Caenorhabditis elegans: one gene and its partners. The protein of the gene in region 2 purifies or fractionates together with the protein of the main gene of each other region. This does not show direct contact. Each region holds a gene or a part of one and is shown on either strand. Other genes may lie near its edges.

What was found.
Region 1: the proteins of immt-1 (region 2) and gas-1 fractionate together in Caenorhabditis elegans (co-fractionation; one large-scale study listed by BioGRID). This does not show direct contact.
Region 3: the proteins of immt-1 (region 2) and nuo-6 fractionate together in Caenorhabditis elegans (co-fractionation; one large-scale study listed by BioGRID). This does not show direct contact.
Region 4: the proteins of immt-1 (region 2) and nduf-5 fractionate together in Caenorhabditis elegans (co-fractionation; one large-scale study listed by BioGRID). This does not show direct contact.

Annotation. Positions count from the first base shown.
Region 1 is NC_003284.9:15,584,969-15,593,532, reverse strand, and holds gas-1 (putative NADH dehydrogenase [ubiquinone] iron-sulfur protein 2, mitochondrial), read left to right. Parts: upstream 1-3,135; 5' UTR 3,136-3,141; coding exon 3,142-3,282; intron 3,283-3,333; coding exon 3,334-3,467; intron 3,468-3,520; coding exon 3,521-3,695; intron 3,696-3,915; coding exon 3,916-4,138; intron 4,139-4,186; coding exon 4,187-4,832; intron 4,833-5,162; exon of another isoform or gene 5,163-5,222; intron 5,223-6,384; coding exon 6,385-6,514; 3' UTR 6,515-6,747; downstream 6,748-8,564. Other genes in the region: usp-33 (Ubiquitin carboxyl-terminal hydrolase), read right to left, coding at 152-387, 433-717, 767-895, 943-1,043, 1,087-1,153, 1,252-1,347, 1,710-1,910, 1,991-2,164; K09A9.6 (Aspartyl/asparaginy/proline hydroxylase domain-containing protein), read right to left, coding at 6,785-6,892, 7,354-7,536, 7,582-8,082, 8,402-8,564.
Region 2 is NC_003284.9:2,680,837-2,690,309, reverse strand, and holds immt-1 (MICOS complex subunit MIC60-1), read left to right. Parts: upstream 1-3,125; 5' UTR 3,126-3,152; coding exon 3,153-3,170; exon of another isoform or gene 3,171-3,234; coding exon 3,235-3,323; intron 3,324-3,369; coding exon 3,370-3,537; intron 3,538-3,589; coding exon 3,590-3,798; intron 3,799-3,843; coding exon 3,844-4,091; intron 4,092-4,559; coding exon 4,560-4,679; intron 4,680-4,729; coding exon 4,730-4,843; intron 4,844-5,272; coding exon 5,273-5,497; intron 5,498-5,564; coding exon 5,565-5,948; intron 5,949-6,034; coding exon 6,035-6,301; intron 6,302-6,984; coding exon 6,985-7,182; 3' UTR 7,183-7,556; downstream 7,557-9,473. Other genes in the region: T14G11.1 (Membrane-associated protein), read right to left, coding at 10-270, 1,041-1,173, 1,222-1,317; ser-7 (G-protein coupled receptors family 1 profile domain-containing protein), read right to left, coding at 8,163-8,202, 8,466-8,504, 9,361-9,473.
Region 3 is NC_003279.8:7,064,689-7,070,984, forward strand, and holds nuo-6 (NADH dehydrogenase [ubiquinone] 1 beta subcomplex subunit 4), read right to left. Parts: upstream 4,499-6,296; 5' UTR 4,488-4,498; coding exon 4,388-4,487; intron 4,314-4,387; coding exon 4,244-4,313; intron 3,897-4,243; coding exon 3,548-3,896; 3' UTR 3,428-3,547; downstream 1-3,427. Other genes in the region: cutl-6 (ZP domain-containing protein), read left to right, coding at 575-671, 1,628-1,815, 1,865-2,010, 2,398-2,785, 2,836-2,925, 2,996-3,211; tofu-5 (Twenty One u-rna (21U-RNA) biogenesis Fouled Up), read left to right, coding at 4,754-4,855, 4,904-5,058, 5,108-5,333, 5,381-5,558, 5,624-5,898; W01A8.6 (Peptidase M14 domain-containing protein), read right to left, coding at 6,068-6,246.
Region 4 is NC_003279.8:2,999,593-3,006,038, forward strand, and holds nduf-5 (NADH dehydrogenase [ubiquinone] iron-sulfur protein 5), read right to left. Parts: upstream 3,256-6,446; 5' UTR 3,246-3,255; coding exon 3,012-3,245; intron 2,004-3,011; coding exon 1,872-2,003; 3' UTR 1,768-1,871; downstream 1-1,767. Other genes in the region: dnj-28 (J domain-containing protein), read left to right, coding at 1,223-1,674; Y54E10BL.3 (CcoQ/FixQ family Cbb3-type cytochrome c oxidase assembly chaperone), read left to right, coding at 4,593-4,620, 4,671-4,754, 5,942-6,009; Dual specificity mitogen-activated protein kinase kinase mek-2, read right to left, coding at 6,437-6,446.

The DNA of each region.
Region 1 (8,564 bases), about 13 Mb from region 2:
TATTTTGGCATATTTCTAAGTCTTTTACTGAGAAAATATTAAAAATCTGCGGAATGTTCTAGTGATTTATCTAGTTTTCTAGTGATATGAAACTATTGTGAATACATTTCGACAAAATCTTCACTGCCACTACTCCACCAGAAAAACTTACACTTCACATTTACTGCAGGAATATTGATTATCATCTTGTAGCGTGGAATTTTGAAAGAATCTGTCAAGACACGACTCTAGACTAGTCTTGTTGAACGCTCCCTGATGAACAAGAAATCCGGGGTCCTGTCCGTCTTCAATGTTTGATGAGGTGCATGGTGCTTTTGGTGTATCGAGTTTCTTTGATGCATACATTTCTTCAAACTCATTTTCTCCGACTATTGGAATTGAAAGATCCTGAAGATGGAATTGAATTTAGGCGGTTTTTGAGAAGTTACTCACCAAAAAATTTTCAATGGTCCGTGAGCGAAACCCGCATGAATGACATTGAATTTGATTCTCTAAAACTCCTTGGAAAATTGCTGAAATTGCAGTTTTCGTGTGCGGAGCATTCATAGCTATTGCGTAGTCCATTTCAGGATTCCCCATTTCGATTAGTGTATTTGTTCGGTGATACTCGGAGCATGTTTTCAAATCTCTGTCAAGAATATCAAGAAGGTTTCGCATGAATTCACTAGCATCTTGCTGCTGGAAACACTCAAATCCTGGCATCTCATTGCGAACACACTTTAAAAAATAATGGACTTATTAAGAATAAAAACGATATAAACCGCACTGTAATAATTTTCCAAGGACTCAAGTAAGGTAGAGGAAAATCACTATACATATTTCGGAGATCAAGTGCCATTTGAATTGCAGTTTTTGGAATGTCGTGTGAACAGTTTGACCAGCCACCTGGAGGTATCTGAAATAAACCGGATATGTTTTTGTACATTTAGGCTTCATACTTACAAGCTCTATCAAATACTGTGTGAACGGTGAGCAATGTCCTAAAAGTTGTAGAACCGCATTCATGTAACAAGTGTTCCCGAAATTGAGATACCCGAGCAATCCTATAACTTTTTAGAAATTAAATTTTACAATGTTTTCACTAACCTCTGAAAGCTAGAGGCTCCATTTTTCTTGTTTCCTGCTCCACTTTGTCGCTCGTTGAAAACTTGGTCTGAAACATAACATTATTGATACAAAAACGCGTGCCCCTACTAATTTCGTTATCACATCAATACTATATCATTTTTTTTCTACTACTTGATTACTTACATGTGTGAGGAACCGCTTGACAGGAGTGTAGACCATGCAACGTGTACATAGAATTGATTTCCGATCGTGATATAATATTGGAGGATGATTGTGAACCTTAAAAAATTGGAATAATTTTGAGAGCGCTGAGGTTGATTGATCTGTGCTTATCGAAGCATTAACTTATCAATTAACAACAATTTGGTGTTTTTTTTTCAATTTTCGGATAGATTAAAAATTTTTTAACCCTACACCTAATTGCTACCAAGCTTAAAACATGATGCTTAACTTATAAAAATGATTATGTTCCTATTTTTCTTCTGCACAGTTTTCTGTTTAGAAAAAAGTTCATCGCATGTGTCTGTCAAATTATATAAATATATGTAGATTACTATTTAACGGATATTATGTAAAAATGCAATTATATCAAAATTCAAAAAAGTAAGCAAAACTTGATGTCAATTTGCGAACAAACGTACCGCCATATGAGGAAGAAGGTGGTCGGAATTTTTGCAACAGCTTGACTTCAAACTATTAATACAATCTTGATGAGCACATGAGAAACTGACTGAATCATGGCAAGTCATGCATTTTAACTTCTTCTGTAGAAGCTGGCTGAGGTCTGATGGATTGATGTCTTTGACGTGTTTGCAGCGAGATTCCATTTGTTTTGGAAGCATCTGTAATTATTTTTGAGGTTTTTGGAAAATCAGGTATTGTGATGTTAAATGTTTGAGAAAGTCATTGGAAATATTCTTACCGGTCGCGGATTATTATTCTCTTCCAGATCATCCTTATCGGTATCTGTACCCGTTCCTGATTCAGACGATGACGACTCCTCATCTAGTATACCCTCTTCTTTTTCGATGTTCTGTGATGGCTGACTGCTATCCGAATTCATTCCGTCGTCATCACGCCCTGCACTATCCGCCATTCTGAAAAAAAATATAGAAAATTGAAATGAGAGTCATGTTAAATTTAAAAAAAAGTCATCATTAGTATCAATTGACCACAACGAAAAATGATATTGAAACCAAAAAAGAAAAAAACGTTAAGTTGTATTTCATATCATCAGTTTAATTAATAAGTTAATAGTATATTCGAAAATCTGTACTTTAAAAAAACAATGATGTCATTTCGGTAATAAGTGTAAAAAAATATGAAACTTGTGTATTATAACTCCACATTTTGAAAATTTAATTTCTTAACTTTTAAACGTGATCTTCATTTTGTTTTTTTTTTGAAACGATCTTTTCCAAACCTAATCATGATAATACTACTCACGTTTTAGATAAGTGGAGAAAAAAAACAATTACTAATTTACTTTTAAAATGTTGGAACACACGTACCGAAAATATTAGGTTAAATTTACAATTTGATCAAAAATTGAAAAATGAGTTTATTAAAAATTTTTACAAAATAATCCAAATTAACGTTATATTATAAAACAATTTTCAATTTAAAAAAAGTTTCTTAGAAAACAAAAATAAATAATAACACCGAGCATGACAATTCCGAACGACTGTCCAAGCAACAAGACATCTTCTAAATCAATAGAGAGGTGAGGCTACGCGAGGAAAACAACGACACTCCACCACGCGCTAAATACCGAGCAGTCGTCTTATTTTCGTTCGGTACCTATTTTCGACACTGTTTTTGCGAATTTACTTTCTTTTTTCTTAATAATTTTAATATTATCTTTATCGTGTAAGAAAAAATACGACTGACTGTTAGTTTCCATGAAAAAAATTGTGAAAATCAAGTTGCGAATTGGTGGGTTTTTGAAGTTCAATCTTTCTGTGTTCAATGTGCAATTTGGCAGCGATTTTATCGATTTTTCCGTTTCTCTTTGTTGCTTTAACTTCACAACTTTTATTGCTCACTATTCACCGAATATTTTTATAGGAAACAATGTTGGGTAGAAAGATCGCCGGAACTTGTCTCCGAGCGAACGTTCCATCGGTCGCGGCGACGTCTTCTACTCCTGCCACCCAAACCCGAAACTCCCACACAATCTGGTATCCAGATGCTAAATTTGAGCGTCAATTTAAGGTTGATTTTTTTTGTTGGTTACGAGTGACATCTCAATTTTCAATATTTCAGACCGGAGGTACCCTCGGAAAGCTGTGGATGTCGGAGCGGGTTTCGGATTTCGACGAGAAGATCGGACTTGACAAGCTTGAAAAGTTGGCCTATTCCGATCCAGTTATGAGTGATAACTACAGCGGAAAACAGAGGTAGAAATTTTACCGAGTACTTGAAAATTAAAATAATTTGTTTTTTTTTTCAGAGAGAAGAATCTGGAAAACATGATTCTCAACTTCGGACCACAGCATCCAGCCGCTCACGGAGTGTTGCGTCTCGTGTTGAAACTGGAAGGAGAAGTCATCATCAAGGCCATCCCACATATTGGACTCCTTCATCGTGCCACTGAAAAGCTCATTGAGCACAAGACCTACACTCAGGTATGTTTCTAAAACGATATTGAAAATGATAAATTGAAAATTTGTAAAATCTTCAACTCGGTCCAAGTTTAGAACTGAAAATGACAAATATTGTGTCTAAATAATAATTTTTTGTTTAGCCTAATTTTAGTTTTCAAAAGCTATGAAATCCGTTTCAAATCATTTTTTCTGTCACTCAAATCGAATATTCAATCAATTTTTCCAACTGTTTTCTTTGCAGGCTCTCCCATACTTCGATCGTCTCGATTACGTCTCCATGATGTGCAATGAGCAGGCTTGGTCTTTGGCTGTTGAGAAGCTTCTCGGTATTGACATCCCAACAAGAGCCAAATATATCAGAACTCTCATGGGAGAGCTCACTCGCATCCAGAACCACATCATGGGTATCACCACTCACGCCCTTGACGTTGGAGCTATGACACCGTTTTTCTGGATGTTCGAGGGTAAGTTTATTGTTTCAAAATAAGTACAAAACCAACATTGATTTTCAGAACGTGAAAAGCTCTTTGAGTTTTCCGAGCGAGTATCTGGTGCCAGAATGCATGCCAACTACGTCCGCCCCGGAGGTGTCGCTTGGGATCTTCCAATTGGTCTTATGGATGACATCTACGACTGGGCCATCAAGTTCCCAGAACGTATCGATGAGCTCGAAGACATGCTCACCGAAAACCGAATCTGGAAGGCCAGAACTATTGACATCGGACTTGTGTCAGCTGCTGATGCTCTCAACTGGGGATTCAGTGGAGTCATGGTCCGTGGATCTGGAATCAAGCAAGACGTGAGAAAGACCGAACCATACGATGCCTATGCTGATATGGAATTTGATGTTCCAATCGGAACCAAGGGTGATTGCTACGACAGATACTTGTGCCGTATTGAGGAGATGAGACAGTCGTTGAACATTGTGCATCAGTGCCTCAACAAGATGCCAGCCGGAGAAATCAAGGTCGACGATCACAAGGTTGTGCCACCAAAGAGAGCCGAGATGAAGGAGAACATGGAGTCTCTTATTCATCATTTCAAGTTCTTCACCGAAGGATTCCAAGTGCCACCAGGAGCAACTTATGTCCCAATTGAGGCTCCAAAGGGAGAGTTTGGAGTTTACCTTGTTGCTGATGGAACCGGAAAACCATATAGGTAACTATTTCATTTTTAATGTTAAGAATGCGGTGGTCTGAACCAAGGGTGTCAATGTCCCGTAAAATTTATATTATATATAAAAAATTTTAAATTTACAAAAACGGGACAGCGGGACTCCGGTTGACTATTAATTCTTGATTATGAAGTGATTACCAAATTAGGACCACACGCGCAGACATCTCCACCCTCCACCCTGATTTGAATGCCACAGTGGTCGGATCTGTAAACGACCCCTGTGGCCAAAGTGGTTGCGTCGCTGGTTAGTGTGCACAATCTCGCGGGTTCGATTCTTTTGAATGCTAAATCCTTTGTTCAGTTATTATAAGTAAGGGGACTTCTAATTGTTTGTAAAAAATCGAGTATTACAACCATTGGAATTTCTCTATTACATTTTTGGATTGGCAAAGTTGTAGTACTTGACTATAGGAAATGATTTAGCCTTTTAGGGAGGATGTCTTTTTCAGCAGGACGTCCTCGGCGGCAGGATCAGGACGCGTCCTCGTCCTTCGCGTTTGGACGTCCCCAATTCTCACTGTGTGTGTTTTTCACAATTTCAACAGTGAGACTTGAGGATGTCCAAACGCGCAGAACCTAACTCGTCCTTTTTAACAGCCCTAAAAGTGATAATTGTTATGTTCTGAAGGCGGAACGACGAGGAGAAGACAAGAAGTTTATTATATTAGTACTAAACTAAGGAATAAACCAGTTAGTTATAGAGCTCACGTTGTACAATCTTCTTAGCCACATCGTGGGTAAATACACTAGTAACAAGAGCTCAAAAGTCCAAGGTACAGATTTTTCACCAATTAAAAAGTTTGGAATTTTATTCAAATAAAATGGGAAAAGTGCAGCTTCAACATTTAACCACATTTTTTGCACTGTATTAAATAAATTGTCATTTTAGTGGAAGTGTATGAAATACTTTGTTCAAAGCTTCAGTGCAATACTAGTAGACACTGCAAGTTTTTTATTGGTTATCTAGAATGCAATTACAAAACTTTGAACAGCGTATTCCTAACATTTGAATAAGATATTTCTATGAATTGTTACTAGGCGGGATAGCTCAGTTGGTAGTGGTGGCCGCTAGTAGTCTGGAGGTCACAAGTTCAAGTTCCGCCTCACGCCTTAGGTTCGCCCAGCATCTAATGGGAAGTGAAGCTCATCATTCATCCATCACTGGATTATCGGCCACAGTCCCCGGCTAGGATGTGGCTTAAATTATAACCCAGTGGGAGCATCGCCAGGCAGTGTACCTGACTCCCAGATCCGCATTGATTTGCACTTGAAGAGAGAAATATTGTTCAAATTTTGAACTAAATGTCTGAAAATAAGATGCAAAGATTATAACACCGTTATACAATTAAAAATACAGTTGTATATAATAATGGTTACTGAAAAATGTAAGTGAACGGAAATTTCCAATTATTAATTTTTGTCATTTCACATACATACAATTAGGGCTGTGCAATCGGACGAATTCGTCCGGTTTTACCAGATTTACACGCGTCCAAAACAGAAGCTTTTTCAACATTAAATTGTCTCATTTCAGATGCTTCATCCGCGCTCCAGGGTTTGCTCACTTGGCGGCCATCCACGATGTGTGCTACATGTCTCTTATCGCCGACATTGTCGCTGTCATTGGAACTATGGATATTGTGTTCGGAGAGGTCGATCGATAAATACTCAACTCATTAGGCACGTAGACGGATTCTCTATAGCACATTCTCAACTCACTCTTTATTTATCCCTTGCACCGCGAAATGTGTTCTGTTTATTTTCTTTTCTTTTCAAAGTTCGTTTTTTTCTGAAATTCAAAAATGTAGATTTGTATCTGTTCACTGTTGTTCAGGATGTTCAATAAATAAGTCTGCAACCAAGACGCAAAGAAAAAACGCTTTATTAAGAAAATACTCACAACAATAAAAATAGAGCTAACATTATGATCAAGATTATGAAAGGAATGACAACACGCGTTGATGAGGTTGAACTTCGGGGTGCCAAAGTTGAATGGTGAGGACAAGTCGGAAGGATGATGAAGATGCACCGTCGAATTGGAGCTGAAATTTTAACTATGAACTTTAAGGTAATATTTAAAGACGGCTTTCAACTTTTGAGATCGTTGCCTTACTAGTTAGAAATTCGAAAAGTATTGAAAATTTGCCAATTGTTTGGGCATTGAGTTTTTATGTGCTTATCAATTGATATATCAAAATTAATAGTTTGTACCAGGGCTTCCATGAGGTCGCCGCAACGGTGCCTCCGCCGGGCTCACGCCGCATGTATAGTGCGGCGCGGAACCACAAACGTGTCGGCCGCTTCCAAATAACCACATTTTGGATTTACTGACACACACAGCGGCGCGCGGCGTCGGCGTGAGGCCCGCATTTCGCGCCTCACACAGCTGGGAGCCCTAGTTTGTACCTAGACTCCCTAAAAAGTATTGATTCAAGAAATGCTAGACATTGAAAAGTATGCCAATACATTTACGATGCCCCCAACTCTATTCCAATGAACCAACCTCGTGTTCAAAACTGTCATCATAAATGATAAATTTCCCGGATCTCCATCCCTTTGTCTCATTACCAACACGTATCCTTGCTTCAGATGGAGAGACAAGACCCAAATGTGCTTGGAGGTGATAGTTCGTAGGACCACAGTGTGGCAGAATAGAAGCACCTGATGATAACACCGACAAATGCATCTGTAAATGAATAAACGTTATCATGATCTTTTTCGGTGAACATACATCTGACTTGCTGGCATTACTGGAAGCTGCAAATTCTTGAAGGATTAAGCATGTCTGTGGCATTCTCTCGCAGCTAGATTTTATAAAATTTTGCTCGGACATAATTGGGAAGAACTTCCATTGTCCATCGATGACGAGCTGTTGGTTATGATCCAACCAACAATCGCTGCAATCCTTCAAAACCTCCATGCCTTCCTGTCTGATTGTCGCCCACTGCCGTTCAACTGTCTTCAGAAACTTGGAGTACGGAGTCTGATCCATTGCCCACCAAGCCCTGCCGGTGAGTCCTTCAATGTTGTACAAGCTTCTCTGCTGGGCAGTCATGAAAACTCCCATTTGTGCAGCCTTCTGGTAAACAGCGTCAGCTTCACTTTTACGCCCGAGGGTTGTGAGACCATGGCCGAGTTGATAGTAAAATTTCGGATCGGTTATTTCATTGTCAGCATTTTTTAAACTTTTCCTCATTAGAGCAACACCTTGTTCAACTTTGTCGTCGTGTGCCTGGAAAAAGTTGTTTCAATTAGGGCCGGCATCTTGAGCGTCCGGACGTCCGTTTTTTAGAACTTTGAAAATTTCCCGAGGGGTAGGTTTTCACGGCGGCCGACAATTTCCGAGTTTCGCCACTCACTATACTTAATCATATAATTTTTGTAATGAGTGGCTAAACTCGGAAATTGTCGGCCGCCGTGAAACTCTACACTTCGGAACATTTTGAAAGCTTCAAAACCGTACGCCGGACTTCTCATATCCCAGTCCTAGTTTCAATTGATTTAAAGATCATTTTTAAGTACAAGTTAAGCTTTATAGAATAAAAACACACCTTCAAAATATATCCATAATAAGCCAATGCAATTACGTGGTTCGGATCATTTGCTAAAACATTTTTCAGCACAGTTCTTGCATCTTCATATCTTTTCATCATCACGAAAGAAATCGCAAAATCGGTTTGCAAGTTGAGCTCTTCTGGGAATCTATCAATAAAA
Region 2 (9,473 bases):
TCGCCATACTATTGGACATTTCCAAAATGGAATTACTGCGGAGCCACGCGAGAAATGGAGCTGGTGGAGGGAGAAGGCTCATGGTGGCACAAAGAGATGATGTTGCAGAAATTACAAAACAAAGAGCTATGAGAATGTAGAAATAGTTTGCTGTTGATGGTGTTATGCAGTCAACGAGAACTCGGGTCGGTGTATGAAATGCCACATGAGAGTTTCCAGCAGCATCGACATATCCTCCAAATCGGACGGCTTCCCAAAAATTGTGACATCCTGCAAATCAAATGTTTCATTCAATCTTTGATTTAAATGTGGAGTAGAGCCAGTATGGTGTCAAAATGTCCACAAATAAAAGTAACACGATTTTTAAAAAATTTTGACAAATTTTCGTCACTCATAATTTTGGAAGTTGACCAAAAATATGTATTTTCTACGACTTTCACACTTTTATTTTGTATTAATTATATCTATTGAAACATTCTAACATGCGACATTGCTCTGCATTTCTTTGAAATTTCATATTTTTCCAAAAGCTTAGCAATTTGCCAACACTGTGCTTAACTTTGTTTGGAGTGTTTTATTATTTAATCGGTCGTTTTAAATCATCATAAGTATACTTAAACAAAATCCACACTGGTGCTACTCCACCTTTGAAATTTAAAACTTAAATAGACCATAAATAATTTTTTTTGATCGACGACTTCCAAAAAGTGGCAAAAATTTAGATTTTTCCAATTTTCAAAAAAAAATCATATACAATTTTGATTTTTCTAAAGAACATTTTCACTATGATACCCCATCTTTAAAAAATTTCAAATGTTTTTGATTAAGTTTAAATTTGAAGTATCATTTCACTTTCAAGATACTGTTAATCGTGTTGATTTTAACATCGCATTCCGTTTTGTCAATATTGTATTACCAGCTTTTGATTCAGTTTTAATGTAAAAGTCATTACAAGAAAATGGTTTTTTGAAAAGTTTGCACAGTCATCTGCTCTCAGCTTCTACACAATTTATTTTTTTGCAATGCTAAACAAGACTTACCAATTGCATGACAGGGTTCTGTGTTCTTCATGTAAAGTTGAGCCACCTGCAAAGCGTCGATGTCGGTTGTGCCGTTTTTTGTGCTCATATCTTCAATGAGAATCCAGTCTGTAGACATCATTGCGAAAATTGCCTGAAATATTGGAGAATACTATTATTGAAGTCATGTGCAAAAGCTTACCAGAATAGCTGCAACGGTGTGGAAAGAGGCGGCTGGAATATTGGCATCACGAAAATCCATCCTAGTGCATAATGATCCAAGCTTGGAGAAAAACATTTTCTGGAAACGTCTAAATGGGACAAAGTAAGAGTTAAATAAGAAAGTAAAGAAAAGTTGACATAGAATTTTCTGTGACCCTGCCTCGGAATATTTATTCAATGTGCCTGCTGACGAAAAAAAAACACGAAAATGAAAAGAAGCAGCGAGCCCATCGAGCCCGAGGGAAATTGAGAAAAGAAAGAGAATCAATAGCGGCGGATGAGAGGGTGCAAACCCGAGGAAAAGGCAGCCCCACTCTCACTGCCACATCGCTTCGAGACCCTCGCTTCAAACTACGGTGAATATACTCTGCGTCTCTTAAGCATTGCTGGGCATGTTAAAATTCTTGCGCTTTAATAAGTTGTGTATGGTGACTGAGAATTTGTATATTTCAAAATTCTATTTGAATGGAAAGAGTTAATTGGAAGAAAAATGAAAAAAGAAATTGAAAATCAATTATTTTAAAAATAAAATATAAGTTCTAACACTACCAATTTCAAGTACACTGGCCTAACCAAACAAATGACCTTGGCGATTTTTTTTCAACATGAAATGCCCAGATACAAACACCATTTATCAATTGTACACTGGTTTCTAATGGTTTCTACTATTTTTTTAGTGCATTATCAATTTTTAAAAATTTCCGGTAAAGTGTACATATCAGGGGTGCGCGGCAATTTCGGCAAATCTACAAAATGAGCCAAAATGAGCAAAAAGTGATATATTTTATTAAATGTTAAAAATAAAATATAGAAAAACACTTTTTTTTTAATCTAAAAGTAATGTTTTATTTAATATGAAACAACTGTAAAAATGCTCAAAAATAGTATGCAAGTTGAAAATTGCCGGAAATTATTTTCCATAATTTGTGGGATATTTTTCCGGCTCTTATTAAATTAGAGACAATTTCTAAGCAGTTTTTTATTTTTATTTTTATGAATTATATTAAAGATGTTTTCAAATAAAGCAAACATTTTTCTGAAGTTTAAGGAAATATCTGGTACTATATGCTGCACTTTTGCTGCACTTTTTTGCGTACAAATGTTGATTTCTAAATTGAAAAGTTACACAGAACAGTAAAAATTCATGTTGCATAAAATTTTAGGACGTTTATGGCACTTCAAATATCTTTAAATTTGGCCACTTTTCCAAGTCGTAGTAATCCAAAGCTGCTATTTTAATACTATAATTTTTTCCTATCGGTTTTAAATGTATTTTAATTAACAAAATTACGGTACTTCTGTAGTGTTTACAATTCTGAAAAATTAACGTTACCCTTTTTGTCGATATTAGGCTTAGGACTAAAGTTTTTTTAAGCTTAAAAATACAACCAAATTCCGCGTTTTGATTAAATAATCACTTTTAAAAGTGTTGGAAAATTTTTATGGACCAGGTGTGCGATACGGAAAAATGGCCGAAATTGGAGATTTCACTTGAAATACGTTTTTTTTTCGAAATTTTCAACCGGCAAAAACTACTTTTTGAAAATTTTTAATGAAGTTTCATTATAAAATTCGTTTATTTGAGCTCATTTTGGGTTTATGCGTTCAAAATGTCCCAAACGTTTAATGCATCGGCAATTTCCCTTTGTTTCCCTGCCACACTCTTCCAATGCCTCCCCACACAGCCATTCTTCCCGTCGTCCCGTACGCACTTACAAAAGATACACAGACATCGATTGCTGGCGCGTTTCTCGTGCATGACGCGCAACTTAATCTTCGAACACTAAACAATATGTTTATTTCTTTTTCGATTGCACTCTCTTGATTATTTTGATTTTTTCTTGATTTATATAAAATTTCGTTGTAAAATTTATTACTTTTTAGGTAAATTATTCGCTGCTCGTCGCGGAAATGTTTCGTATTGCATCGGTGAGTTTTTTTTTCATTAAAAAAATGCAATTTTTAGTTTAAATGTATAATTTTTTCATTTCAGAAGCGATCAGTCAGCCAGACGTTGAAAAGAGCCCGTCAACAATCAAATCAAGCCGCTGCTCCACCGAAGCCACCAGTTCAACCACCAAAGTAAAACATACACCAAAATCGATAATAAAAACGCGTCGTATTTCAGAAAATCCGGAGGTGGCAAAGGATTGGCTCTTGTCGGAGCAACCGTTGTTGGAGCTGGTGGTGTTGTCGGATACGCGTATGTCGACCCTGAGTTCCGTCACAAAGTCGAATCCACTGTTCCGCCAGTGAAACAAGTTTTCGACGCAGTTTTGGGAGAATCTAGCTTGCAGTAAGCTTTATTTACTAAAAAAGTGACAGTCTTAACGATAATCCTTTTTCAGGAAGACAAAACAACAGATCGGTGACCTCAAGGATGCTGTAGTGAACGCTGTCCCAAAAAAGAAGGAAGTTCTTCCTCCATTGGAGCTCGCGCCACTGCCGCCTGTCCTTCCAAGAGAGCCCACACATGTTGACCCAGTGGATGTTCGCAAAGATGTGACCCCAATGATCCCAAAACCTTCTCCAGATGTCGTCTTTGCCAAGAACCAACGTAAGATTTTTTAAGCGTAATTTTCATAACAGTTTAAAGTTACAGAACTTGAGGAGAAGCTTAAAATCGCAATTCACTCTGCTGAAGGAAAAGTGCGTTTAGCCACTGAGGCCAAGCTGAAGACCATCAATGCGATCAATGAGCATGCCAGTATTCTCAAGCAAACCGTCGATGATGCTAAGCACGCCAACTGGGAAAACGTCACTTCTGCTCTTCAAAGAGCCGAAGCTGAGGCACGCGTCGACAGTGGCCAAGAGGTGGACGGGAGAAACTACATTGATAACCTTCGCAAGGTATCTTTTGGTACAGCCTAACACCCAAAAAAAAATTTATGTTTGAAATTTTGAACCGCAATGACACAAAATTTTTAAATTTTTTGAGAAACTTCATTGCGAAATTCTTTTAATGAGCACATTTTGGTCTTACACCTTCATAATAAAATACCCAGAGTCGTTAGACCATTGGAAACTAGGACTTGACTAAACCGGACTAAATCTGTCGTCCGGTCTGCGGAAGTTCGGCTATCTAGTGCCTGTTTTTGAACTGCTACACAAGTTATTATGTGACAGGTCCTATGATTTTTGTCTTGTTGCAATACTTCGACCCTGTTTTTTTTTCAAAATTTGTAAAAAGGACCTCTTCCAAGCTCATTTACGAAAAGGAATTAAATGCAACTGAAAATAGAGACGCTTGTTTAATATTTGATTAAATGCAAATTTTTAATAATAACTATTTATTTTTCTCAATTCGGACATTTACAGATTGTGAACGATGGAAAGCGAGATTCAACTACCGCCACAAATCCGCTACTTCTGAATGCTCAAGAGACTGCTAATAAGCTTTCTCATCAGCTTGATGAGATCAACGCATTGGTCAACAAGGTATTACATGCATTGGCACTTTTACCAAAAATTGTCAAAATTGTTTTCAGTCTCGTCAAGAATCTGCAGTCCTCAATCAGTACAAGGATTTGATTGAGAAGTCTCGTCAACAGTTTGCTCTTGAGATGAAGAGCATCTTGCCAAATGTTGATATTCACGCTAAAGTGAGTGACGAAAAAAATAGAAGGAATGGAGTCCATCCTCGGTTTTTTATAAAATAATGAATTTCTGTAATAGGCTCAAATGAGCCTATGATTTTGCTAAGGTGCATTTATGAAATTTTTGTAGTCAAAAGCAAAAATTATATTTATAGTTGATATGTACTCTCGGTAAAGTCAGAAGAATACAACATACCTTTAGTACAAATAGTTACAGTACAAATATATTTGAGATCACAATTTTTACAATTTTTTATAGATGCTGACTGATTCAGGAAGATATTTCAGCTGAGGATTTGATAGGAAAGGCTTCTGTTATTTTTCACAAATTGAAAGTCGAATATCAAACGTTTAAAATTTTTGACTAAACGAAAAGCCTTTTTGACATTGTTTCCTAAAATACAAATTTGAAAGTTCACATAAATTCATTTTCAGGACAAAAATCTCAACGAAGACGAACTGAATGCATTGATCGCTCACGCTCATCTCAAAGTTGACCAGCTTCGTTGTCAGCTTTCGGATCAGCAAGTTCGCGAGGAACTGCACATCTCAAAGGCTCTTGAAGAGCAGCGACTTGCCGATGAGCGGATCGCGTCTGAAAAATTGAGCATTGAGATGAGCCGTGTTGGCCGTCAGAATGAGTTGGAAATCGAACGAGCTGTAAGTTTGTTATCAAATTTGGGGTTAAAAGTTGTTTTTCCTCAAATATTCCACTTTTTGATTTCAGCTTGTGGAAAGCCGTTCATCATGGGAAGGTGAGCTGGAGAATCAATTGAAGCGCACCGCCTCGGCTCACTCTGAGCACTTGGAGCAAGTCATCCGGACTCAGAGACAACTCTTCGAGATTGAACAGAATCAGAAGGTAGAGGAGGCAGTTTTGCAAGAGCGCAATCTTCACAGCAAGCAAGTTGGTGCTGCGTTGAGCCGACTGGAGGGAATCGAAGAGGCTCTCGGAAGCCGAGTTGCTCTTGACAACGAAAACCGTCGCGCCAAGCAGTTCTGGATTGCGTGCCATAATTTGATTGACACTTTGAAACATGGTAACAAGGCCGGAAACAACATTGATGAGAGAAGACTTCCATTGAACGAGTCTTTGAATCTTCTCAAGGAGGTTAGCGAGTTTGTCAACGAAATCAACTTTTTTACATTTTGTTACTATTCTACATTTTCATTTTAATCTGAATTTATCGTTTTCAGGTCAATCCAGAAGACGAGTTTGTCAACGCCATCATCGACTCGTTCCCAAAACAAGCGACCACAGTTGGCACATACACTGAGCAGGATCTCAAAAACCGCTTCGAGCAACTGTACAAGATTGGTCGCAAGACTGCTTCTATCGATGAGAACGGAGGAACCTTAGGAGCCTATTTCTGGTCGTACGTCAAATCCCTGTTCCTCGTGGATATGCCACAACAGTATGGAAATTTAGATGCTATTGATGTGAACAACACTGATAACTATGAGGTGAGGATAGATTTGAGTACAGAATACATTAGAGTGGGTCATAATTATGCGGATACGTAAACAACTCTGCTCTGCAACCCCTAGGTGATTGAACATGATACATAAAATTGTATAGCTCACATATTCCATAAAAATCTGGTCATGATTCCATTTAAAAAATTTAAAAATATTTCCATCCACGTTGCTCCTGACTCTTAGAAATTTTGAGGTTGGATTTTTGGCAGCAGATTAGCAGATCACTTTTGGCGTTTTCCACTGTTTTTTTTTTAGAATCCGGCAGAAATTCCGTACTTTTATAAGAATACTCCAGATTGTGAGATACGCTCGTATGACTTCGTGGTTGATTAGTAGTCATGTTAAATATCATTAAAAATATGTCAGCTTTAAGTAACGTAATGAACCCACGTTTAAAAACTGTCAGGTTTGTAAAAATCGGGCTTTTGTCTTCATAACTCGGGTCTCTATAAATATGACCCCGTTGTGAAAAATAAATTTGATTCGAATGGCAACATTCTTATTCCGATCAAAAAAATCAAAATTCTTATCTCATAATTTTTATTAAAATGCTTGTTCTTTATTCCGAGAGCTTCCCAGTCCCGTACGATGTCCGTACAAAAAATATCAAGTTTTTTTAAAATTAGAATTCAAACGTTTTGTAAGACTAGTGAAACATTTTTGTTCAGATCCTTTCCCGCGCCAAGCAGTACGTACACAATGGTGATCTCGATAAGGCGATTCGCGTTGTTCAACTTTTGAAGGGTCAGCCAGCTCATCTTGCTCGTGACTGGATCGTCGACACCCGCTCCTACCTCGAGTCTCGCCTTCTCGCCCAGCTTCTTGTGGCTCACGCCGCCGTCTCCTCGATTCGCTCAACTTATTAGAACAATTGATTGTCTTGCGTCACCGTTTTTTAAAATTGTGTTCTACTGGTTTTCACTACACTCATTTTATTTTTCTCTATTTCTCACCCTATTTAAAACGATCCAAATGTTTTAAAAACGTTTTGCTGCTAGTAGTATTGTGTGTGTGTCTTTTAGAAACCAATTTCTTGTTGGTAGTTTATAGTAGATGGGTGTGTGCACATTTTCTCCCCGTTTTTTTTTCCAAACTCTCGCCGTCAATTTTTTCCAAGTTTGTGTAGTTTTTCGAACCGTCGATGTATTGAATAAATGTGAAAATTTTACAATTTTTTACCAGAAATAAGTATGATTTGTAGAAGTTTGAGACAAACAAATAAAGAATCTCTAGAAGTGCAGTTGCGGCAGTTGGGGAAATTGTTAAAAGTCACACTTATGGTGTCAAAAGGAAATTCATTTGTTTTTATACAATTTTTAGACATCGGGTGGTTAACAAATTGATCCAAAAGACCGAATTTACTAATGAGATATTTTAAATGATATCCAAAAAAATTTTTGAGGTTTAAAAAAAATAAAATTTCAAATTTGAACAATTTATCCGTCTATGTAGTTGCGATTTTACAAAAAAAATTACATTTTTGTCGTAATTTCAAACTGCCGAAACAATTTTTTTTCTAGTCAAAGTTTTGGCGAATTGCTATACTTTTCAAAACAATATGTAACCAACATTTTCTGTTTTGATGGACTTCCAAAATTATAGGTTGTTATACTGTCCAATACATTTATTCAGAAGTTATAAAACTTTATACAAAGTTGAGGCAATAGGTGTCACACACCTTCTGAAATGCACATAATTGCAATGCTAGAAAGCATGAGAAGCATTATACAACGGGAGAGGAAAGTCACGTAACCTTACTTGTGTACCGACAAATTGAAAATGAGAATAAATCAGATGAGAAAAAAATAGTTAATAAATTATGAAATGGTACATAATGTGTAGTGTGCTAGACGTCACTTGCTTCGTGACTGTCATTGCGTCGAGATCTGAAAATATCATACGTACAATTTTGAAACAGTGTCACGTGCAAAGAATCAAAATCATTTCACTTTAGAAGTAAAACTCATGCAAAACGTTGAATGTTTGGAAGCAAATCGCAAACCAACACTGAGAAAAAATCGCATAAAATCGCAAACTCCATGCTTTTAAAAAGAAGAAAAAGGTAACACTCGAATAGAAGAAAGAAAAGTTAAAAACGTGATGTAGTATATAACAGTTGAGATATATGGATAAGTAGGGTTATACTCACAGAAGCGGTCGATAGCTGGAAGATTGGGTTCGGTAGCGACTGTAAACGCGCAGAGTCAAAGAAATTAATAACCTGGTGTTGTGTTTGGCCGTTTGACGCGGATTCTCTATCAATAGACTGTTGTGGTGTGATTGTGAAAAGTGGCACGGATGGTGTTTTTCTAGGTTTCAAACATAATTCTGATGGAAATTCAACCCAAACAGCTTGTAAGAAAGACCATCCCACCCACATTCCTTATTAACACGGGAGACTTTTAAAAGTGGAGTTGCGCCAGTTTGATGGTTCCAAAATGACCAAATATCATAGTGAACTTGAATAATAATTTCAAAAAAACAGGGTGTATGGTGCGTTCTGCTGTGATAAAACTAATTTTTAAAAATTCACGTTTGCAGTTTTTGGATAGGTATACAAGAATGATTGAAAATTGCTCTTTACTGTATAAAAATTTCAGAAAAATGACAAATGTTTCAATAAGTTTTAGGATGGTTTCTGCACTTTGCACATGTTCTTAGAATCTGGAGTCAATTTATTATTGATTAAAATTTTACAGTTCTAAAAACTTTTAACTAATTTAAGTTTATGATATACTCCTAACACAGCTAATTTTCAGCGCCAACTTTTGGGAAAAAGTCAATTTAATTTTTGGAATCCGGAGATCCTAAGGTAGGCTATTTTTTTTATCTTAGACTTCCAAAAAAAAAATGGCGAAAACTGAGTAGTTACCACCATTAAAAAAAAAGTTTTTTTGAAAAAAATTGTGAGCTTTACTATGATATTTGGCCATGTTGGCAACATTTGCGAGGTTTCTAACAATCCCTTCACTGGCGCTACTCAATCTTCAATGAATGTAAACTCTGTCTCCTTGGTTTTATCCAAACCGCGCAGAAAAACTCACACAGGAGGTCCGTAGCGGCTGGTGAAGCTTTGTTGTCGCATTACAGTCTGTAAAGTAGCACAGCGACAAGCAAGCATTTCACGGAATGGTATTCGAAACTCTTTGTTGTACTT
Region 3 (6,296 bases), on a different chromosome or scaffold from region 2:
CTGAATGCAGGTGTTGTCTACATATTATTTCTCAAATCAAAATACTCTGTCATTTCTTACGAGCTTAACCAATTCACCTTTTGTATGGCAGCAGCAGGCGTCATACATTTCCATCTCAATTGACCTATTCTCGAGTCTCGGCTGTCCATGTAATTATCCATTTTCACCGTGAACCCTTCTGTCCATCGTATTTTTTTCCCATCGCTCCTCTCTTTCTCTTCATCTCCACAGTTTGACCTTTACACAGAAACTCTTTTTCCCGAATAATATGTAGTTCTTCTCGTAGTTTTCGGAAGAAGTACCGCCCGCCGCAAGGATTTCTCTTCGTTCCGTCCATCTTAAAAACACGAGCTTAATTGAGAAGCGATCATGTCTTCTTGTCCCGCCCGGGAACGTCATCATGCGTCCCGCCCGTATTCTGGTCGTACTAGTTACCACCTATGCTCCTCCCACATTTGTTTGGTTCCCCAGATGAAGTAGAAGAAGAGCATTTAATTTAGTTTTGAACGTGTGTCGTTACAACTACTTATTCTTGTACTTCCTCAAGATTTTTTTATTATTACAGACAGACACAATGCTTCTGAGGTTAGGATTTCTTTTGGTATGCTCAATGCTAGAGAAAGTGATAGGACAAACGAAAGTGGTCAACTATATTGATAACTCTATAATAGGTAAGTTCAATTTTCATTTTACTGAAATTTTTAAAGTTTTTTAAAATTGAACAGTTTATTCTAACTTGTGATTAATCTACTATTATCCAGAGGCAGAAAACTGCAGTTCACCAGATGAATTTTGTTTTGAATTCTAGAATATATAATATGTGATATTGATCTCTGATCACGGTTTTTGACTCGAAGCTTGCAAAATTATCACTTAAAAGACACTATGACCAGAGTAAATTTTATTAGCCGTTCACAAAAAAAATGGTCTCGGCACGACCGAAACGTCGAAGCTACAGTACCCGCAGTTTCCCAATTCATGTTGCAAACTTTAAACTTTTGGAAAAAATACGTAAAATATTTGGAAATAATGAGTAAACATTGTGGAAAATTGCTGCGGATAGATTCAAAGTTCCGATCGGTTCAAGACCGGGTACCGTATATTTCAAAAAATTCAATTTACAGCAAAACTAATCTGACATATGCAGACAAATTCTCAAAAAGCCGTATGAAATTCGTTAAAAATTTTTTTTGGTCTTACACATTTTAGAAAACAAAAGTTGTAACTTGCCTAGACCGATCTTACACCGGTTTTGTTGTTAAGAAAACATTAATCATTTTCTGCATCTTCAAAACGTGTATGCTACAGTAATATATCCTTTTTAAGCAAAAAATCCACAGGCAGATCAAATAGTTGCGACTACTGACCCCATTCCCTACACTTCGGCCTAAGTAGCGATAATTATATAGAGAGAAAGAGTTCAATGTTCTGAATACAAAAAAAATTATAAAGCGTGCGATAATCCATGTCTACAAGTTTGCAAGTCTCAAAGCAATTACAAGATAAATCCACTAAATCTAACCGCAAAAAAACGACCTTCAAGAACAACAAAAATGAGAATAATGAGGTGCGGAAGTGGTCGTGTAAAGCGTATTAAACAGAGCTCCCCTCTCATTTATTTCTACAGGTACACCCAAGGTAATATGCGCGGAAAATGATCTGGCACTCGACATTGTCACCTCCAAACCATTTCGTGGAAATATTTTTGTAAAGGGACGAGCGAAAGACAAGTCATGTCGACAAAGTTATGCGAACAATGGAACAAACTCATACTCATTGCCGCTTGGAAAATGTGGAATGCAACGGTTACGATCGGTAAATGGACCGAAAACGACAATTTTGTGAGATGTTTTTTTTTATTCAGGCAAATCCTCGAGGCGTCAATTTTATGGTCACAGTCATTGTATCATTCCATCCAGCTGGATTCATCACAAAAAATGATAGGGCATTCCATGTTAAATGTTTCTATATGGAACCAGATGAGATTGTTACTCAGAATATTGATGTTAGGTAGGTAATCGTTTATTTTAATATGCCTCATTTCAACTATTGCGTTCAATAATTATTTTTCAGTTTTTCATTTTGAGTGCAACACTGATAGGAACTGCAAGTTTAATTTTAAATCAGTAATATGTATTAAGAAAAAGATACTGAAGTTTTAACATTTTATTTCAATAATTTTACATTGAGATTCTATACTTTTCAGTGTTTAGTATTTGAGGGTGAAAAATCTTTGAACTCACCAGATAAGATTATCGGAAACTCTTAAATTTTTTTTTCAAGTCTATGTTCTTGCAAATTGCCAAATTGAACTTTTTGCGTATTTCGGAGCATTGATGATATTTGAATTTTCAAACACAAATAATTAAAAAAATAATCAAAAAAATTAATTTTCAGTATGATCCCAACGACTGAACTATCTGACAGTATGGTAATGCCAAAATGCGAGTATTCAGTTCGTCGTGATGGTCCAAATGGTCCAACTTTAACATATGCCAATGTCGGAGATATTGTATTTCATGTATGGGAATGTACACCGGCTGATATGGGAATGCTTGTCAAAAAGTGTTTTGTAACAGATGGAGACGGAGAAGATCATGCTGTTGTTGACTTTGATGGCTGTGCAACTGATCCATTCTTGCTCAGTGAGCTGTCTTACGATGCTTCACTTATGCGAGCTCATGCATCAAGTCAAGTTTTCAAATATGCAGACTCAAATCAATTATATTTCACTTGTCAGATAAGATTGTGTCAGAAACAAATGGGAATGTGCCAGGAAGTTACGGTAATAGAGTTCGAAGATTGTTGAAGCAAATACTTATTTTTGATTTTCAGCCACCAAACTGTGGAGTCAAGAAATTGCTGAGTGAAGCAAGTGGTGATGGAAATCGAACAAAAAGAGAAGCTGATCGGTCTGATTATGAGGTAATCATAGATTGTTTCCGGATTATATATTTTTTTAATCCTCCTAACATGAAAACAATAAAATATTTAGATCGACGTAGCAACATCAGAACTTCTTGTACTTGATCCAGCAGATCGTGGGCTCCTTGCTCCTTCTCCATTCTGTGTTCCACGACTACTTCTTCCAGTTCTTCCCCTTATTCTTATCACAATTGTATCATTAACAGTTGTCTCCACAGCACTAGTGATTCGAAGACAAAATCACAAAAAAGAGCTCGATATAATGCAGTCAGGCAGATATTATTGATTTTCACATTATTATATTATTTTATAAATTACACGTCCCGATTGTACGGTTTCAGCTCCCATTTTTCTCTTAAAAATTCCCTTGAACTCTCTCGAAAGTCAGGCACAAATTTCTCATTCTTTTTCTCTGTGATGTCTGTTCCACACATATTTTTACGGAATCTAATTCATCAGGCATCAATGTTATTTTATATAAATTTACGAGTGTTTACATTAATAAAATCTGAATTTTATTTGACGAGGATAACGACACAGCTAAAAAAAAACAAAAATCGAGAAAAAGTTGCTTACATTCGGATCTAAAAGTAAATTTAAGAAAACAGATAGATCGAGACGATTAGAAGTCGATTCCGATGGTTGGAGCAAAGAGACCGGATCCTCCGGTTTGTAGAGTTCTTCCTTGTTGACGATCCCACCAAAGAAGCTTTCCATCCAAACATGCTTCATTCGACTTGTCCATTGGGACAAACATAAGACGAGTGTAAATGTAGAAGAGAGCGAAAACGGTTCCGACGTACAGGAATACGGTGCGTGGTGTGAAACGGAAGAACTCGGCTTGAGTCATATCAGCAGAATACCAACGGAACATTGCTGGATCCATGGTGACTCCCTCCTTGTACTTGAAGCTATGAGGATCGTATTCACGACGGAGATATTCCTTCTTCAAAATCTCCTTGACACGATATCTGAAAGTAATTTTTTAAAAATAAAATGTAGTTTTTTTATCATAAAGTTGGATATTAAAAACTGAATTTATGTTAATTCAGTGTTTAATATCCAATTTTATCGCAACAGTTTTTTTAAAGCAATTTTTGATTTGATACTCTGTAAATTATATCAAGAAACTGTTTTTTTTTGTCTCTATTGCTAATAAATCACTTGAAATAAGTGTTCATCAACGCAAATGTTATCATATATTGATTTTTCAATAGAATTAAATAATTTTAAATTGAGAATATAATTAAAACTATGTTTCTCACTGTTTTTAGAATTTTTTTAAAAACTTTTAAGCAAAAAGCGTTTTTCGTATTACCTCCACAAAACTGCTTTCTTCTCCTCGTCGCTCAGATTGTATTCATGTCCTGGCAGAAATTCGGTCTTTCCTATACAGAACAATTATTATTTTACAAGTTAACAGTAAATTATGAAAAATAAATCGATAAAATAAAAGTTTTACCGTGAGTCTCAAAATATCCAAGCACTGGATCCTGCCACAGTTTCGGAGATTTAATATTTTGGTTGGCAGCTGGTCGAAGAAGTCTTAATGCCAACTTCATTTTGGTTCAACCTGGAATTAAAATATTAATAAACAAAATCGGAAAACAAGACGGAAATTAAGAAAAATAAAATAAAAAGTTCTGAACAACTGGTTCAAACGACACTCCGATATTTCGCAACAGCGCCTTGTTTATCGTAAATCTACATCACATTTCAAAGCGAAAGGAATTTTCCTCAATTCAATTTTCTTCAATTCTTTCCTAAATCGAGGCCATAATTATTTTTTTTCGCACATTAAACTTAACTTAAAACTCAAATTTTAGCCATGGAAACCGACGGCGATCCCACAAATGAAATTCCCGGTAGCTCTATGGCTTTTGAAGTCGCAAACCATACTGTAACCGAAGAACCATCACCACTGGACAGAGTCAGTTTTCTAATAAAATAAACTATTTAAAAATGTAAAATTTTGTAGATTCTCGCAGAAGGTCGCAGCTTCAATGGTGGCAATTGGTCCAGTGACGACTTGAGAAGTTTATTGGATGGAGTGATGAAGTATGGTACCAAAATTGAAGCCATAAACTATATTCACCGAAACATTGTAAAAAAACGATCTATCGAAGAGATAAAGTAAGTTTTTAAAATATATGTTCAACATTTAATCATTATTCTTTTTCAGGGCGAAAATTGACGAGATTCGAGAGATTATCAAGGAACACAAAGAGATTATTCTCCCTGAGTGTTACAAAAATAAATGGATCGAAGCAGGACATCATAATATCACTCCTCCACCATTTTGCCAAGTGGATCCAAATGACGACTGGAGCAGTATCATGGGAAAAATAGTCGATCATCATCATGGATCAATCAACAAGACCCTACCTTCTCTTAGAGATACTTATGAGGTTTTATATTTTATTAGTCAGCAATTGAAAAATGCTCAAATTTTCAGACACTCTTCGAGAATCTCGCTCTAGAATCTAAAACTCACGAAAATGCGGTGGTGACCAAACTTCTCACCGCAAAAGCTACAAGAACTGACTCTCAAAATATAAGATGGCCAGTCATTTACAGATTCATGAAAGCATGTGCCACATTGGAAGAGCAAATGCCAGCGCTCAATGAACTTGGTCAGTAAACCCAGAATAATTCTAACTCTGAGGGAACTTAACCAGCGCTACAGTTTTATTTTCAGAAGCGGCAGTTGTCTCCAAAGTACTAGACACTATCGAAACCGAAGCTACGACAACTCCAGATACTGAGAAATCTATTCTTGCCGGTATTTTCAGTGAATGTCAACAAGGCAATTACCGCTTCTGTGAGCAAGACTATCCTCCGAACGTTATGGCGGCAGTTCAACTGTTCGTGGATCCACTCCGTACCCGTTTTCATGCGATCCCTGAAGTTGCATCTGAAGTCGAATTAATCAACTTTACGAAGGACAACCAGCCATCTACATCGTCCAATTGAAATTTTTATTAATTTTTTGTTATATCCTGTCATATCATCCGGTCGTTTCACTGGTATTTAATACATTGTTATTAAGTTTATTGATTTCAAGTCTAACAAAGACAAAAATGGTAGAAACCCGCTTCTTGACAAGTTCGTCGTCGTCCAAAGACACGTGTTGATTTGTTTGTTATAGCTGTCTGAATCGAGGAGATCTACTGTCTGCTGATGTTCCGTTTGTAGTTGGTTCAGTCGGTTGAAAGTTCTTGGTTTCCTCAACTACCTGATCGAATATTACTTCAATTCCAAGCCATGTCTCTTTTCCAATTGGAATAAGCCAATGTGGTTTGACTTGGAATGCGAACCAAGCTGAAATTGAATGTTATTCTAGTTTTCATGGAAGATCTAAACGAATTCTT
Region 4 (6,446 bases), on a different chromosome or scaffold from region 2:
TTGGTGGGAAATTCATGAATTCTAACAATTTTAGGGTGTTTTTAATGAGTTTTATGTCTAAAAATTGGATAAATTTCGTCATAAAAATTATTAAAACAACGGAAACCATTTTTAAAAAGGGCGCGAAATACCTAACGAGACCCAGTCGTGGGGGGCGGAGCGATTGAACATCGATTTTGCAAGCCGCCGCACGCTTTTATTTATTTTTTCCTCGTTTTTAACAGGAAATTTCGAACAGAATTCAAATAAAAATGGATTTTTACTGGAAATGCTTTTTTAAAATTTTTTTTTTCCAAAAAAAATCCGATTTTAATTAGTTCGAATTTTTCTGCTGAACATGAGAAAAAAATCTGCGCCGCGCAGAAAAATGGGCGGGGCGTAATTTTGCAACCTTCTGTGCGGGGCAGGTTTTCGCAAGCCGCCGCACGTTTTTTCCTCATTTTCAACAGAAATTTTCAACGAAATTCAATGAAAATCGGATTTTTCATTCGGAAAATCAATAAAAGGAGGAAAAACCGTGCCGCGGGGTTGCAAAAATAAGCCCCGCCCCTTTTTCTGTGCGGCGCAGGTTTTCGCAAGCCTCCGCGCGTTATTTCCTCGTTTTAACAGAAAATTTTGACGAAATTCAGAATTTTTCATTGAAAAAAATCAATAAAAAGGAGGAAAAACCGTGCCGCAGGATTGCAAAAATAAGCCCCGCCTCTTTTTCTGTGCGGCGCAGGTTTTCGCAAGCCTCCGCGCGTTATTTCCTCGTTTTAACAGAAAATTTTGACGAAATTCAGAATTTTCCATTGAAAAAAATCAATAAAAAGGAGGAAAAACCGGTGCGACACGGTTGCAAAAATAAGCTCCGCCTCTTTTTCTGTGCGGCGCAGGTTTTCGCAAGCCTCCGCACGCTATTTCTTCGTTTTAACAGAAAATTTTGACGAAATTCAGAATTTCTCATTGAAAAAAATCAATAAAAAGGAGGAAAAACCGGTGCGACACGGTTGCAAAAATAAGCTCCGCCTATTTTTCTGTGCGGCGCAGGTTTTCGCAAGCCTCCGCACGCTATTTCTTCGTTTTAACAGAAAATTTTGACGAAATTCAGAATTTCTCATTGAAAAAAATCAATAAAAAGGAGGAAAAACCGTGCCGCAGGATTGCAAAAATAAGCCCCGCCTCTTTTTCTGTGCGGCGCTGCTTTTCACGGATTTATCGATCATCAAAATCTAATTTCCAGCAATCGCTGACTACGAAAAAGCCGAAGAATGGGATTCATCAAACGACGCCGTCCGAACTGGAAAAGATCAAGCAAAGCGTGCAAAGGAACTCGTCGGAAAACGAGATTACTACAAAATTCTCGGAGTCCGCCGGAACGCCAATAAACGAGAAATCACAAAAGCCTATCGAAAAATGGCTCAAAAATGGCATCCGGACAACTTTCAGGATGAGAAGGAGAAGAAGAAAGCTGAGAAGAAGTTTATCGATATTGCCGCGGCGAAGGAAGTTTTGAGCAATGAGGAGAAGCGGCGAGCTTTCGATAATGGACAAGATCCACTGGATTCGGAAGCAGGGAGGGGTGGAGGTGGAGGTGGAGGATCACACGGATTTCATAATTTCCACGGATTTAATCCATTCGGCGGTGGTGGTGGTGGCGGCCGTGGTGGCGGCGACTTTTTCTTCCATTTTTAATTTCATATTTCATTATAGATATAGATATTATTGTGTCATTGGATGTGTTACCCGGACTATTATTGATCTCTTAACTTGCTTCTTTTTTTTTTTATTATAAATCTTTTTATGTACTTAGAAAAGATTAAAAAGAAAAAAGAAATGAAAACTACAAAAAATAAGGCGATTTCTCTCGAAACTAAAGGCACTTCAAGTATCTAGTTGATACGATTCCACTGGAAGTGATCAGTCTTGAATTGTCCCGGTTCTGGATGATTGTCGACGTATGGCTTCGCGATTTTTCCGTCGAGGAACAGCTTGCAGCGTTGTTCACGGATGGCGTCAGCTCTCTGGAAAATTGTTTTTCGATTATTTTGGAATTTCATGTGATGTTTTTTAAAGGCGCACGGGTTTATTCAGATGGGTCTCGATGCGCAGAAAAAAGATTATGGTAGTTTTTTCTCTTTCAGGGCAAAAAAACTGGAGAACACACATTTAAATTTTTAGGAAAATCGAAAACCAAAAATATTCGATTTTATCAACAAAAAAAATCCAAAAGTTAAAAAACCAAATTTTTCAGAGTTTTCGATTTTTCTTTTCTTTAGAAATAGGAGAAAAATCGGAAAAATTGCATGAAAGAAGACGAGAAAATAAACTCAAAAATCAGAAAAATGAAGGAACATTTTTTTAAATTAGAATTTTAGAAATTTCCGGAAAATGAACGAATTTCGTAATGAAACTGCTCAAAAATTTTTAAAAAATTTTTATGGCGGTTCAAAATTTTGAAAAATAACACTGATTTTAGCTAAAATCACGAATTTTTCCCATTTTTCCGTGTCACATCTGTCCGTAGTTGGCTTTTTTGGAATTATCGTCCTTTATTACATATATTGGTAGTTTATCTCATTTAATTTCGTCGATTAAAGTACATTTAAAGCCGATAGGTAACCAAAAATCATCGAAATTGGTTACCTATCGGCTTTAAATGTTATTTGATCCACGAAATTAAATGAGATTAATTACCAATATATGTAATAAAGGACGATAATTCCAAAAAAAGCCAACTTCGAACAGATGTGACACGGAAAAATGGGCAAAATTCGAGATTTTAGCCAAAATCAGTGTAATTTTTTCAAAAGTTTGAACCGCCATAAAAAATTTTTGGAAATTTTTTGAAAAGTTTCATTACGAAATTCGTTCATTTGAGAACATTTTGGGTCTATACGTTCAAAATCGTCCGAACCGTTAGTCCTCCGTTAAAAGAATAAATTCAAGGGATCAAATTTATTTGGTTTTCACTAATTTTTTGTTTTTTAGTCCAATTTTTTTTCGCGACAGTTCTGTTCCGGATATCGAACCTTCTTCTGTTTATCCCCAGTGACACACTCCTGGAAGTCACGATGCTCGAGATCACAATACTTGCGTCCCATCTTTGCTCCGTAAGCCTCCATACAACGGTAGAATTGAGATTCAAAGAATCCGCAGATACGTCCCTGTTGGGAGAGTGGAACCGAAAGAGTATCGGTTATTGGAGCCTTTACGATTGGTGACAATGATGTGAAGTTCTCCGGATTACGGTTACCAGTTGCCATTGCGGATGTTCTGGAATTTTGGAATTTTATTATGAGTTGAGAAGCAAAATATCGATTTTTCGGTTTTTTTTTCAGAGATAATCAGAAAATGTTTTAGAAAAAAAAACTAAAATTTTAAAATCTGTGTTAATTTTTTTATGTCGATGAGGAAATGCATAAATAGGAAAAAAAACATTTTTCTCAAAAAAAAAGAAGAAAAATAGCTAAAATTTATAGACATGTTTCGAAAAAAAAAAATAATTTGTCTAAGTATCGGAAAATCGAAAAAAGAAACACACTAATATTACGGAAACGCAAAATTCTGAGTGACCCGCAAAATATCTCGTAGCGAAAACTACAGTAATTCTTTAAATGAATACGGTAGCGTCGATTTACGGGATATCGATTTTTTTTAAAGAAAATTAATTTTAATATTCAATCGTTAAATTAATTAATTTCAAAAATCGAGATCCCGTAAATCGACACAACCGCTACAGTAGTTATTTAAAGAATTACTGTAGTTTTCGCTACGAGATATTTTGCGCGTCAAATGTGTTGTGCAATACGCATTTTTAGAATTGTGTTCCCGTAATAATTTCAGAATTACCCAAAAAATCCTAAAATTAAATACTGTTTGGATAAAAAGGCACGCTACAAGATCAAAAAAGCCATGAAATGTAATTTTTGTTGAATAAATTTCGAAAAAATGCCTCGAGAGAAGAAAAATCATGAATAATCTCAAACTATCACGCAAAAAAAAGGAAAAATGGTGAAAAATCCCAGATTTTGGAAAAATTTCAAAAAAAAATTCCCAAAAAACTAGATAAAACCAATAAAATATTCTTCTAGAAAATTGCTTTTTTTTCAAAAATTCAACAAAAATTTTTTTTTTGCAAAACCTATTCGCAATTTAAGCTATTTTTCCTATTTTCGGTGGATCCCAGCAAAATTTCAGCAAAATTCCATCCATCTACTAATTTTTCCGCAAAAAATCGCCAAATTTTCCAAATCTTTGTATTCAAAAATTGTTGAAAGTGGATTCCAAGTTCAAAAAAATTTCGTCAATTTATTTTTTTTATTCATACTAACTTTTCTTCAGGAAAATCGGCTAATTTTCCGAATCTTTGCTACTAAAAAATTGTTGAAAATCCACAAAAGTCTTTTCCTCTTTCTCCCAGTTTATTCATTTTATTATCCGAGCTTCTCCCCCCCCCCCCTCTCTCGTCTTTTTCACATCTTTTTCGTAACGGAGGTCTCCTTTTCCGTTTTCTTCAACGCTTTTCGCAGCACACAAAAATCGATATCAAGCGCAGTAGTGTGTGCTCTTTCTCTCTCGGAGCAAGAAGGCAACTTGGGGCTCTGTCAAACATGGACGCCGTCTATAATCTCGTTGAATGTGAGTTAAATATATTAAATTAATTTCAACCGATTTTCATGAATTTTCAGCTGTTCACGTTTTTATTCCTGTCGTCGCGCTTCTCGTCTTTCTCACAGTTATTTATATTAATTCGAAAACTCCTGATGAGCCGGGTGAGTCAGCTTTTTGAATTTTGTGAGAAAAATATCGATTGACCCAGGCGTGTGCGGAAATTGCCGGAATTTTTCATTTTCGGCAAATTGCCTATTTGCCGGATATCGATATGACGGAAATTTGTAGAGCGATTTTTTTAAAACGGAAACACTCCAAATTGTGCCTTTTTAAAATTTTTTCCCATTTTTCGTTAGATATTTTCATAGAATTTTTAATTTTTTAAAATAGATGTAAGAACATTCATTGGATGCCTTTTTTAAAAATTTCTTTGCCTATTTAAATTGAAATTCTTCAAAAGTTCCAAAAAAATGTGCAAGGCCACAATTTGCCGGAAATTGTCGATTCCGGCAATTTGCCGATTTGCCGGAAAAATAATTTTTGGCCATCTTTTGCCAATTCCTTCTGTATTTAACATTAAAAATACTCGATATATATCTTTTTTTTTTAGATTTTCAGGTAAAAATCGATGATGTTTTTTTTTCTATGAGAATTTTTAGTTAGTTAAAAAATTTTCGATTTCCGGAAATTGATTTTTCGAGAAATATGTCAAAGTTTTGGTCATTTTTTTTTAAAATAAAATTATGTTAGATTTTTCTCATGAATATAAACAACATAATTTTCCAATTATTTTCGGGAAAATATAAAAACTAATTTTTTTTTCGATATTTCCAAAAAAACAAATCTATTTTTCGAGAAATCTCTCAAAATGTTGGTAATTTTTCGTTTTTTTTTGTTTTTTGAAAAAAATTGCAGGGTTTCCTATGCTTTTTCTCATCAATATTAGCTTTGCTCCGAGAAAATCCGAAATTTTATTTTTTATTTTTGAAAAAAAATTCGTTTTTTTTTCGAGGCATTTTCAAAATTTCGATAATTTTTTGCCTTTTTTAATGAAAAAATTTTTTTTTTCCTCAAAAAACAATTTTTTTTTTCGATCATCTCTGAAAAAAAACCGAGTTTCTCAACGAAACCCTTAGTTATAATAAAAAATAAAAGAAAAATGCAAATTCGGGAGCTTCAACCGACTATAAAAACCAACGAAAAAAAACTTAAAAATTCAAAAATCAAATCAAAATACTTTAATCTTAATCAGAAGCGGGACAGAAATGTGGAGGGAAAAATGGGGAAAAATCTACAAAGTAAATGAAAAATAGTCTAAACTAAAGAAAAAAAAGAGGAATACTTTCAGATACGGCGCTGAAGAAAGCGACTCAAAAAATGACACCGAAGGAGCCGAATGCAAAGAAATCGGATTGATCTCTCGAGATGGCAATTGAGAAATTGAAGAAATGCTCAAAAAACTGTGGAAAATAGAAAAAAAATCAAATATATCTTAAAATTTTGGCCATTTTTCTTTTTGTTTCTCATCAACATACACAAAATTTAATTTACAAAATTAAATTTTATGATCAATTTTTCGATTTTCCTTTTAAAAAATCGGCTATGTTTTTCGCCAAATCTGCCTAAAAATCACTTTTTTTAACAAATTTTTGGGCATTTTTCAATTTTTCCAACTCTAAAATAGTAGCTATTTTCTGATATAAGAATTATTTTTCTAAATATTTTCCATCACAAAATATCAATAAAAATATTGGCTCATTTCGTAGAATCACCCCCTGGAGCTGGAGCATCCTAGACAGTGAGAGACAAAGAGACATCGAAATATACAAAAATCCAAAATTAATTATGGATTC